Struthio camelus: one gene and its partners. The protein of the gene in region 3 interacts with the protein of the main gene of each other region in a pairwise test. Links are inferred from orthologs where the notes say so. Each region holds a gene or a part of one and is shown on either strand. Other genes may lie near its edges. The genes, in order: NECAB2, NUP50 and KPNA2.

The links.
Region 1: the proteins of KPNA2 (region 3) and NECAB2 interact in binary tests that used the Homo sapiens proteins (3 or more experiments, as listed by UniProt). The two-hybrid records come from large-scale screens. The link is inferred for Struthio camelus from reciprocal best matches to the Homo sapiens genes KPNA2 and NECAB2.
Region 2: the proteins of KPNA2 (region 3) and NUP50 interact in binary tests that used the Homo sapiens proteins (3 or more experiments, as listed by UniProt). The two-hybrid records come from large-scale screens. The link is inferred for Struthio camelus from reciprocal best matches to the Homo sapiens genes KPNA2 and NUP50.

Annotation. Positions count from the first base shown.
Region 1 is NC_090951.1:21,308,707-21,312,453, forward strand, and holds the start of NECAB2 (N-terminal EF-hand calcium-binding protein 2), read left to right. Parts: upstream 1-894; 5' UTR 895-927; coding exon 928-1,116; intron 1,117-3,747. UniProt on the Homo sapiens protein: May act as a signaling scaffold protein that senses intracellular calcium.
Region 2 is NC_090942.1:79,514,514-79,518,260, forward strand, and holds the start of NUP50 (nuclear pore complex protein Nup50), read left to right. Parts: upstream 1-1,005; 5' UTR 1,006-1,020; coding exon 1,021-1,025; intron 1,026-1,081; exon of another isoform or gene 1,082-1,165; intron 1,166-1,454; coding exon 1,455-1,533; intron 1,534-2,763; coding exon 2,764-2,847; intron 2,848-3,747. UniProt on the Homo sapiens protein: Component of the nuclear pore complex that has a direct role in nuclear protein import. Actively displaces NLSs from importin-alpha, and facilitates disassembly of the importin-alpha:beta-cargo complex and importin recycling.
Region 3 is NC_090960.1:4,561,072-4,564,818, reverse strand, and holds the start of KPNA2 (importin subunit alpha-1), read right to left. Parts: upstream 3,001-3,747; 5' UTR 2,772-3,000; exon of another isoform or gene 2,724-2,771; intron 2,080-2,723; 5' UTR 2,033-2,079; coding exon 1,961-2,032; intron 1,862-1,960; coding exon 1,724-1,861; intron 1,415-1,723; coding exon 1,326-1,414; intron 510-1,325; coding exon 241-509; intron 1-240.

The DNA of each region.
Region 1 (3,747 bases), on a different chromosome or scaffold from region 3:
ATTTAGTCAGTAAATTGTCCTAAGTAACTTAAGCATAGAGCAATCCTAGCCTGTGTGTGAATCATAGTCTGAATTAGCCATTTAGCAGAGGGACGTCTAAAGGGGAAAGAAGCATATGAATAGTCTGAGGATTAAGTGCCAAAAAGAGTGGAGTAATTCGGGACATGAGGGGGCACAATCTGGTATATACCTTCTAACAAGTCATTTGTTGCTGGCTTTCTCTCTTAGGCCGTGGTGGATCAGGCCTTTCGGAGCAACGATGCCGTACCTCTTGGGAGACGGGGCGCGGAGCTCGGTGCGGGAAACTGCCGATGGTGTTTCCCGGAGGAGCGCCGGGCTCGCTGGCCCCCCTGCTCGCAGGGGCCCCGGGAGCAGCCCGGAGAGGGTCTGGCGAGCGTGCTGCGTTTGTGCCTGGCACGGGCCAGCTTCACCTGGCAAACAGGTTTCAAGCGCTGCATTAATGTGCTATAAAAGAGGTCACTGGATTCAGCTGTAATGCTCGCTTGCACTCTTAATAGCAACTGAACAAGAAATTGGAGAGCTCTCCAAACCAAGCCAGCCCCATTCCCCCCCCCCTTTTTTTTTTTTAATTTATATTTTTTGCAGCAGGCTCTCAGTTTTGAAGCTTCGGGGCATTTTTGGATCTAAACCCGAAGCAGGCACCCCGTCTGCGGGTGCAGGGTGGGGGGGGGGGGGGGCACACACAGAGCACGTGAAACGATTTCATCCATCCCCCCCCCCCCAAAAAAAAAAAAAAAAAACCAACCCGTCCTTGGGGCACGCCTAGAGGGGGCCCAGGAGTGCCCCGGGGGTGCCCGCCCGCCGCCCGCCGTCGGGGCGGCGTGGCCAAGAGGAGGAGGCGGAGGAGGAGGAGGAGGAGGAGGGGGGGGGGGAGTCCCCGGCTCCGGCATGAGGCCGGGCTGAGCGATGTGCGAGCAGGCAGCGCGCTACTGCCGGGCCGGCGTGCACAGGCTGCTGCGCAAGGCGCCGCCGCCGCCGCGCGGGCTCGACGGGCTGCTCCGCTGGGTCGCCGCCAAGATGAGCGACAAGGGCGCCGAGCGCCAGCTGCCGCAGCCGGCCGCCGCGCAGAGGAAGGGCACCTCGGTCATCCTCGATGTGAGTGAGCCCCGCGCCGGCTGCGCCGAGGCGGGCGGCCGCCCGGGTCCTGCGTGTCCCGTCCCCCGCCCCGCTCCGGGCCGGCTGCGGATGGGGGTGCTTCCCAGGTGCTGCTGGCCGGGCGTGGGGCTTCCCCCCGTGCTGCGTCCCGCTGGCGGTGCACCTCGGGTGCTGCGTCGCGTAGGGGTGCGCCCTCCCCGAGCCCTCCATCCCCCCAGACAGGCTGGAGATGGAGGTGCGCTCCGAGCCCTGCATCCCGTTTTCCAGGTCCTGCGTGTCCGCGGACCGGCTAGGCACGGGGCGGGGGGGGGGGGGGGGTGCACACTGGTCCTGCCCCCACCTGGTGTTGCTCAGGCAGCCTGGGAATGGGGATGCACCCTGGGTCTTGTTCCTGCACCCTCCCCTCGCTGGTCTTACACGCCGGGATCCCCCGGGCTGGCTGGGCACCACGGTGCACCCGGGTCCTGCATTGCCTCCGGTCCTGCACCCCACAGCAGCTGGCTGTGGGAGCGCACCCAGATCTAGGACCCCGGCCCCCTGGGGGGGCTGCGGCTCTGGGGACCGTGTCGGGGGAGGCAGGCAACGCAGTCCCGGATGCCTGTGAACGCATCAGATTGGGGGATCCCTTACTCGGGTTTGGGGGACGGGCGGGGGTGCACTTGGTTCCTCAGCTGTGGTTATTCATAGACCTCTCAAATCAGGGGGCTAACGAGGCTATTTGTCCTTACGTGGAATTAGGAGAATGGGCTGGGATAAACCGGAGTGCACATGATGCAATTCCATAGTCTTTCTGTCAGTAGCATCTAATAGTTAAACATGCACATCCTCCGTTTTGCAATCTTCTAGCTTAAAAAAAAAAAAAGCGATGTAGTGAATTCAAAAATAAGCTACTGATGGTGTTGGTTGTAGTAAAGGATAACTCGCACTCTCTTCCTCCTGCTCGAGCATTAGGCAACAGTATCTCTTGCAGGCAAACCCTTGCGTTTTCTAAACAGCCTGCTGAAGTGTGGCACTTTCTGTGGTTGGCATTGGCAGAGATGGGCTGGGGAGTCCAAAACTCACAGTCCTGGACTCACAGGCGTTACGGTGCGTCAGATGAACTGGTCTGGCTGCGTCTTATCGAGCTGCCAAAAGCAGCTTGGAGAGCAGAGCGACCCTTGGGTGGCCGTGCCCTGCGCAACGGGACCGGCAGGCAGGCTGCTGCGGGCAGTAAAGAAATGGTGCTTGATGGAGCAACGAAAAAGACAAAAGTAACGATTGCACTTATGGTTTTTAAGTTAACTTTGCTCTTTCTTTGGGTTTTTGTTTTCCCCTGCGTTTTCATGTAGTCTAACAGCAGCCTGCCCTAAGATTGCTGGTGTCTGTCTTGAGAGCATAAATACAATTGGAAGTCAACAATTTGGCTCATTCAAAAACTTTGTGAGTTAGGGTTGTTCTTTCTACCAGGACAGTATCTTATCTGCTCAACTTTACCTTCTTTAAAAGGATTTTTTTTTTCCTTCTTTGAGGTTTGAGCTAAGAAAATGAACAGCGAACTTTCAGAATTTTCTTCCCCATTGGGAAATGCAATGGATCTGGGTGTGCAGCTCCCGACCCTTTTCCCCTTCTACGATGGGACTTAGAGCCCTTTCCGACCTGCTGAAAGTAGAAATAGATGTTGGAAATGTGAGGTTTGGGGTTTCTTTCCCCTGAAAACTTGCTTCTCTCTTCTTCCTTTCTTCTCTCTAGTTATAATAGAAAATCTAAGCCACGGCTTTATTATACCGGGCTCTTCATGTGCACTATGAGACCAGCCTTTAATGCAAAGAATTTATCAGCGGGGGGGAGCGTGCATTTAGGTGAACTTTCACGCATTAACAGGAAGGTATCGAGACTCGCGTTCTCACCCCTGAGGATTCAAGCGCATTTTCCCGTCCAACTCCTTCAGGTCCTTTAGGTGGAGGGACCGCACTGTGCGTGGTGTCAGCCTTGATCGGGGCGCCCTGGGACAGGAGCGCGGTGCGGACACGGAGCAGGGAAAGGGGGAGAGGCAGAGCCTGACTGACGGGTTGGTAGCAGGTCTCCTACCCTGCGCTCTCCCACCAGCGGAGCAAACCGGTGGCTGTTGTGTAGCAAAACCGAGGGCTGAGGAAGAGTGAAACGGGACCGGGAGTTAGACGGTGTCTACCATCCACGTGCATGCTGCTGCCTGGAGGATGAAACTGAGCTTAAGGCTATTTTTTTCAGTGTTTTTCTTCTTTGTGCTTGTGTCCTTTTAGGTAAAGGATTAGAAAAAGAGGAAAAAACTGAGTAATGTTTATTAGCGCAGCTCAATCATGGGATTCGGTGTGTAAAAACAGCTGAAATTGCAGACTAACTTTTTGAAACCTCAAGTAATAAACTGATGGAGAAGACACCTAAGTACTAAGCACTCCCTAAAATAGGCAGCAAGTAAAGTTATTGGGGGTTATAGCTGGTGGCGGTAGGGCAAGCAGCGGTGGGGGGTGTTTCCCTCTGGCAATCTTGACAACGTCAGTCTGCGTTTCCGGAGCAGCTGTTGCAGTGTCGGGCAAAACGCCTGAAGGGCTTGGGGCTGAGCGAGGGATGCGCGTGCCTCCTGTGTCTCCGGCTTCGTCAGCGGCGATACAGCGT
Region 2 (3,747 bases), on a different chromosome or scaffold from region 3:
ATCTGCAGAGAATCGTGCAGAGGCATGGTAGGACTTCTGCTTTCAGGGTGGTGTGATTTATGCCATTTTAAAGTGTTTGCACAAAATAGTCTTTTATCAGATAATGAAATGGATTGTATTTCAAAAAGATCTTATTGATTTCCCTTTAAATGTATTGGACCAAAATTCCTGTATTTGACTTGTGATCTCTGTGAGAGTGTTGTGCAGTGATATTTAGTGTTCTGTTTAAAAATTCATTTGCTAGATGGGATAAGTTCTGAAATCAAGTATTATCATCGCTTTCAGCTCTGACTGTGAATTAATATTTGTGGAATGTTTTTTCTGACCAGGTTTGAATTATAGCAGTGTGTGAGTTTTTCTTATTTTTGTTTTTTTAAGGAATTTTAATTCTTGCACTTGTGTGACTTTAAAGTTTTACAAAAACAACTTCCTTTTTTCTGAAAAGTTTTCATGGTTATGTCAGATGTTGTAGTCGCTGTTAGCCAGATGCTTCTTTCGGTATAGAATTTGAGAGCAGCGTGAGTACTTGCTGGGTGTTTTTCAGATGTGAAATAGTCTAGCTGGATTCAGTGTTTGTTTTCATATACAGCTGATGAGTTATACTTTACTAAATTGGAAGTCAGAAGTTAAAAGTACTACAGGCATTCTTTCTTCAAAGTGGTGTGCCGTGGGTTTGTTGGTTTGTTTGTTTGTTTTTTTCCCCCCTCTACATTGCAGAGAGAAGCAGCAAAATAGTGATTGGCTGCTGGAACTAATTGCTCTAAAATCCATGATAAACTTTGGGTGTCCCTTGGAAAAAAAAGTCGTCATTTATTTATATTGGAATCTCTCAACTTTTTAATTAGTAATAGTCTAGCAATCTTGTTTTTTGAATTACAGCATTGTTTTCATTCTTACTCAAAGTAAGTTCTCTGCCCAGCTGCTTCAGTGGGTCCCCATGGTCGTTATTTTTGATGTTATAGAGCAAATTACATTTCTCTTGCAAGACTATTCCTGCTTACATAGGTATCCTGAAGCAAGATGAGGTGAGGTATAGAGTCTTTTAACCAGATCATCTTATCTGATTTTTCTTGCAGCCCTTCCCAGTAATTGGTGATGAGGTTATGAGCTGTGGGACTGAAAAGAATTTCTCTAGCCACTTTTGCTGCTGAAGAAAACTTATCCTGTAATTGAACTGCCTGCTTCTACTGTTGCTTAAATTTAGTGTCAAATATGACTAAACAGCACAGCTTCCCCAATTTCACATGCTGTTGATTGTTGTTGCAACATATGTTGTTAGTATTGTTAAAAATGCTTGATTTTTCAGCTGTCTTTCTAATTTTGACCCACTTCTTTCTGTATGAACTCTGATTCCCATTACTTATTCTGGATAATACAAGTTGTAGATCACTGTGGCTTTGAATTTCACTGTTGTACAATTGAGTCTGTGCTCTTTTGATTATTTTTCCACACAGGTTTGGAAAAATGGCAAAGAGAATTGCAGAAAAAGAACTGACCGACAGAAACTGGGATCAGGAAGATGAAGCTGAGGAGGTAAAATATACTTGCATGCTTTTCCACCCCCTACCCCTCAGACAAGGTAATAGGGTAGTTAGTTATATGTGGTGTTTTACGATAGATTTCAGCCATAAGATAAACTGGTTACAAGGGTAGCAATTAAAGATGGCTTTACATAAATCAGTGTATTTTTTAAAAGCTTCCAGTATTTGCAAAGTATATGAAGTATATGGCAAAGCAGTTTTTAACTATTTAAAATTACATCAGCAGCTTAGAGGAGAGGAAGTTTACATTTCTAAAGGGAAACCCAGACTCATTAGAATGCACAGTGCTTTTTAACTCTTCAAATGTGTGGTTGAAATTCCTTTAAAATATTTATTGAGTTAACAAGAAAAGTGTTTTTTTTGATTTCTTGAGGTAGTTGACTCTAAGGTTCACTGGCATACGGTCTAAATAAATTTTCTTCATGTCTCCTGGCTTTTTTAAATAGGTCAGTAATAGTTAATTTCAAAAATATGTTAATTTGGAGTGCTTAGTTGAATGTCCCCACACTGCCAGAGGAATTAAGCAAACAGTGAAATGATACGGTTCATCTGGTTGTAAAAACGGACTTTCGTATTTAGTGTCCTGTATGTATTTATGGCTTGTGTGTCATCTCTAAACAAACTATGCTAGCTTCTGTGCCACTAAAAATGTTGTATGTTTAAGCCTATAAAATGTGAGAAACGAAACTGTCCATACTCTTCTAGAAATGTGAATATAAGAAAACTTAATTTCCCCATTTATTCTGGGGTAGTAATTGGTCTTTAGCTGCCTTTGCTAACATTTAATTACAGCAGCCTGTAGGAGATGGATTTTGACCATACATTTCAGTATAGCTTCTCTAAACTGAAGCTTGATTGCAGCAGTGCGATATTGACAGATTCCTTTCAGCAAAGATTTTTTTACAGCTTTGTTTGAAAAAGCAGAAATTTTCAATTAATTTGTCTTGATAAAACTGAGATTGCAGTCTTGTGTGCAGGTAAATTTAATGCAAGGTAGGGAAGACAGCTGTCAAAGCTGTCAAGTTTCAACTAATCATCCAAATACCTGACCAGCTAATCACGGTACTAGAAGACAGTATAGCTGCATTTTTTGCCTCACCTTCTTTGTTACAGAGAAGTGTTACAATTGTGTTTAAAAGTTGATCTCTGCTATTTCTTCTGACTATGTTGACTTTATATATTCTGAGAATTCCACTAATGATTCCATAACTTGTTTTCAAAGGTGGGAACTTTCTCAGTAGCTAGTGAAGAAGTGCTGAAGAACAGAGCTATTAAAAAAGCTAAGCGCCGAAATGTTGGATCAGAGGTAATTAATCACTGAACAGTGTTGTAGCCTGACTTAGTTGTAAAATAAGACATCTGTGTTCAAGTTTTTTACTTATTTGCACTTGTAACTTAATACTGTATAGCTCTACCATTTATAAGCCAGCTCTTATATATTGCAAATTATTTTTCAGTTATTGTTCCTATAGCAAGAATAAGACTTGAATAAGAAAAGGATAATACTAGTATTTTGGGGACCAAAAGAGATCTGTGTTCTTTGAAGTATAAATAGAGAATGTTTTAGACATGATCTCTTCTACAAATGGGGAAAGTAGTGTTTGAACTGCTCCAGTTTCAATCTTTGCAGAGACGGAAGCCTGGAAATCAAAAGTTAATGAAATTATCCATACTGAAGGGATGGGGACTGGGGGGATGTCCCAGGCAGATGTTAAATAAATAAAAGCCAAAATACTAAGTTGCTCTGAGAATGAAAAAGGTGTTGTCTTTTGTTAAGATTTCTTCTACTTATTTTTTTCCCCCCTTGGAAGAGCTTTAGTGCCACCTACTCTTTGCAATACAGACTGAAAATTGAGAGGAAGATGTCCTTCGTTACAAGTTTACTGTGTGGTGCCTGTGTGAAAGCGTTAACTAAATCTAATCAAATTGTAGTCCTTTGAAAAATCTCTGACAACTGCATTGTCACAGCTACCTTTATATGAAACACTCTTGGAGGGCAACAGTGCATGCCCCATGTTAGAAATGGGACAGAAAATTTTACCTGTCATCCACATTGCTTTTGGATAGCATGGGACTAAACACAGTTCAGGACAGGATAGCTTCCTCCTGTGCTCTGGATTTTCCTACTGCTGTCCAAGCAATAGAAAGGAGGAAGCTGTCCCGTCAGACTTTTGTCCATAATAGTTCTAGGCACAGATGTGGTAGA
Region 3 (3,747 bases):
GAACTATGCAATACATCCACAGGCTGCCAGGTGTTGCAAAAAGTTGTCAGATACCACATCTGACAATAATGCATTGTCCATAGCATACTCCGCCTTGTAGAACATGTACAGGATCACAAGACATTAAGGCAAGAGTTCCAAAGAGCTCAGCATGCTACACCACAACCTGCTAATAGTAATGTACTCCTATTTCTAACAACAGAATAGGTCCAAAAAGAAGTTTGCAGCATATTGACATACCTGCAATGTTTCCTAAAGCCCACACAGCCTGTTCACTGATGTGAGTATGGGGAGAGGCCAGCAGTGAAATAAAGGCTGGAATAGCCCCACCATCTACTACTGCCTTTGTTTGTTCTGATGTGCCAGAAGCAATGTTGGTAAGCGCCCAAGCAGATTCAAACTGAATAGGGCTACAGTCCGCTCTCCCCAAGAAGGAGACAAACTTTGGAATCAAACCAGCACGAATTATATTGTCTATGGGGGGCTGCTTCTCTCTTGAGAGGAGTTTCCTAAGGAGGAAGACAAACAGGAAGCGTTATTTTCACCTGCAGAGATCTACACAGATTCTATCTAGTCAGTCTAAAGAGACCTATGTTGAAAAAAAAAAAAAAAAAAAAGATTTCAAGGTATTCAGAGAAGGCAAAGCAACAAGACCTGAAGGGGAAATTTAGCAAAGCTACAAACAAGCTCAACACCAGCATCTAAAACTTCTCGTTAAGATTGCTTCTGCCATGTCTTCACTTTGAGAGGTTCTGTCCAGGCTCTGAAATAAAACAGAGCTACAAGAGGCATAACATATCTGAACTGCTAGAGGTGTCTCAGCAGACAGTAGGGTAATGATTACCAGAAGCAACGTTGCTTTCTAGATCATAATGACTGGAGTTCTAAGCATACTAAGTTTTGTGTGTACTTTATTCCAAGGTAGATCACTGCAAGCAAACATCATATCATAGTCAGATGTGGACAGCTTAAAGATCTTTTTATCAGAATAAAGTAACTTTATTATTACTCTACAAATCTGAAATGGCCTACCGCTTATTTTTCTGCCTCAAAGCCACCTGAAATCAATTACTACTTCCTGGTGAAGTGGTCAGGCTCTTTAAAAACCCATAACCCACATGGTTTTGTTAAAAACATGCATGGGACCAAATGAAACTTATCAAAACACTGTATTTAAAGTTTACTAAACTATATTTCAATAAATGCCTTAATCAAGAGAGCCACAGTTGCTGCCACAGGCAGAGGCTTAGGTTCATTAGCTAATCCTTTTACCTTATCCAGTTACTGGCCTGCACAGGTGAATCAGTTACCTCTAAATTCCTTACCTGGCAGCTTGAGTAGCCTGTAGCTGAAGCTCTGTATTATTACTATTAACTCCTTTGACTATTTCTTCAACTGACCAGTGTGCTGAAACCTGTACGAGAAATAGTTACAGTATACAATACTATGAGAAGACTGCCACTTAATAGAGCAAGCAGTTGTAGAAAATAAGTTGCATCACTGCATGATCTCCAAACCCTCATCAGCTATTGCTTTATCTACATTTGAACTACAGAAAGCATTTTTGAAGTGTTTCACACCAGTATTACAGTGGGCTTAAACACAACTGCCTGAAGTATCTTTTAAAGCGTTTTAACAGGGGAACACAAGTATCACAAACATTAACAAGCCACTTGAGGAAGGGAACTACAATATGGGTCACTGCAGTTAGGTACCTACTTACTTGATTATTCCTATTTTCCTGAAGGGGGGAAGTCGCATCATCTGGTAAAGTGCTAACATTTCTTCTTTTAAGCATCTGGTCATCTTTCTTAGCTTTTCTCAGCTCTACATTGACTTCAATACGCCGCCTTCTCATTTCCTGGAGGACATGCATTGATTAGTTCATGGCTTTTACAAGTAGAAAGGCTCTTTAGAGAGACAATGGCTACTAAAATATTTGTTGCATCAAAATACTCACTGTGGTGTCCTTTCCCTTGTTCTTGAACCTGTTCAAGCGAGCAGCTGTATTGGCATTCTCATTAGTAGACATCTTGCTTATTAGTCAGGCTTCAAGAGAAGTAGATAAAAGAAACTAGCCTAAAAAAAGAAGCAAAGGGTAAACCCTTAAAGCTTATACCACAAAAGTTTAAGTCAAAAACTTAAGAACTTGGACTATTACTTCAAAACAAGAGATGCTTGTCCATATCAGATGGCCACCCTTTGACTTGAAAACAATGGCAACATAACAGCTGCCTTTTCAAAAAGGCCAAAGGTTGCCACAGCAACAGCATTAAGACAAAATCAGTAGAAACACATTCTTTTAAGACACTTTCACCCACAAATGTTATCAGAGTCATTTTTTCTAGGACTAAGATAGGCCTTCCTCCCCATAAAAGGCACATATACATTTTAAATGCTATTTTGACTAGGTCCAGCCCATAGCACACATGCAAAACCCCTCCAAACCCTCTGACGAGGGCAGCACCGACAAGGCCCCTGCCACCAGGCTTGCCATGCCCTTAGGTCAGCAACACGCAATAGCGGCTGTGCTAGTAACGAGGCCGGCCTCTGCCTTGGCCAGCCCCGAGGTGACCCGCTGCAGGAGGGCTGGCTTCACGTCAGCCGCAGCTCAGCCAGAGCTCGCAGCCCGCTCCAGCAGGCGCCAACCCCGTCAGCCTCGCTCCGGGCAGCGGTACCCCACCGCAGAGCCCCAGAGGGAGGGGACTGCCGGGCTGCCCTACCGCCGAGGGAGCCCCGGCCCCTCCGAGAGACCAGCGCACGCTCCGCACCTCCGCCGCGGACTCAGCGCACCAGCCGCCCCGCTGCCACAGCGCCGCTCCGAGCCTGCGAACACGCTGCCACTACCCCGAGCCTCTGCCAGGCGGGATTTAAATTTCCCGCGCCCTCGCCCTGCCATTGGCCCGTTCGAGCCATAGCAACGTTCTGATTGGCCAGTTTGAAATCCGGCTCGTCTCGCGATGGAGAGGAGCGACTCTCCGCCGTGCTCCCGGAAGGGAGGGCCAGACGTCACGTGCTTCGAAGACCCCCCCCCCCCGTCACCGTCCCAGCACTACAACTCCCAGCATTCGACGCGACACCGCCCGGGCCAGAGCCCGGGGGAGACAACTGCACTGGGGCCTCGGTGTCCCAGGAAGGTGACGCGTGGCATGATGGGATTTGTAGTTTCCTAGGGCCTGGCGGGGGGGGCAGTGGGATGGCGGGTGGGGGGGTTATTGCACATCTGGATGGGGCTACAGCAGGGAGCTTTTCGCTCTCGAAACCCTCAATCTGAGCAGTTAGCAGCAGTGATACCCCAGTTCCTTATATACAGCCTAATTTCTACATTATGAACCTTAGGTCACTTAGGGCTTTTTGTAAGACTCCCCCTGATGTCTTTTACTTCAGCCAAGTTAGACTCCACTCGACCTCCTGGAACCACCAGGCATGTGATGCTGCAATTTAAAGTAATTCAACAGCAATCATTACAGATCAAAATTAAATCATATCAAACAATAAAAAGCATGCCCTTGTAGCATTTCCAGAAAATCAACAGATTTGGTATTGTTTCAGATAGGTTTATGCTATTCACAAGGGATGGGTTACAAAAGCAAAACATCCTGTTTTACTGTAGGCGTACTTCAAACCAAAAAGCCTAGATGAAAAAACATGACCCCGCCAGCTGCTGAAGCACATTTTTTACCCATAACGTACAATTCAAGGTAGAGAAGTGTCAGAGACGCATACTGATACAACTTTTGTGGGTTA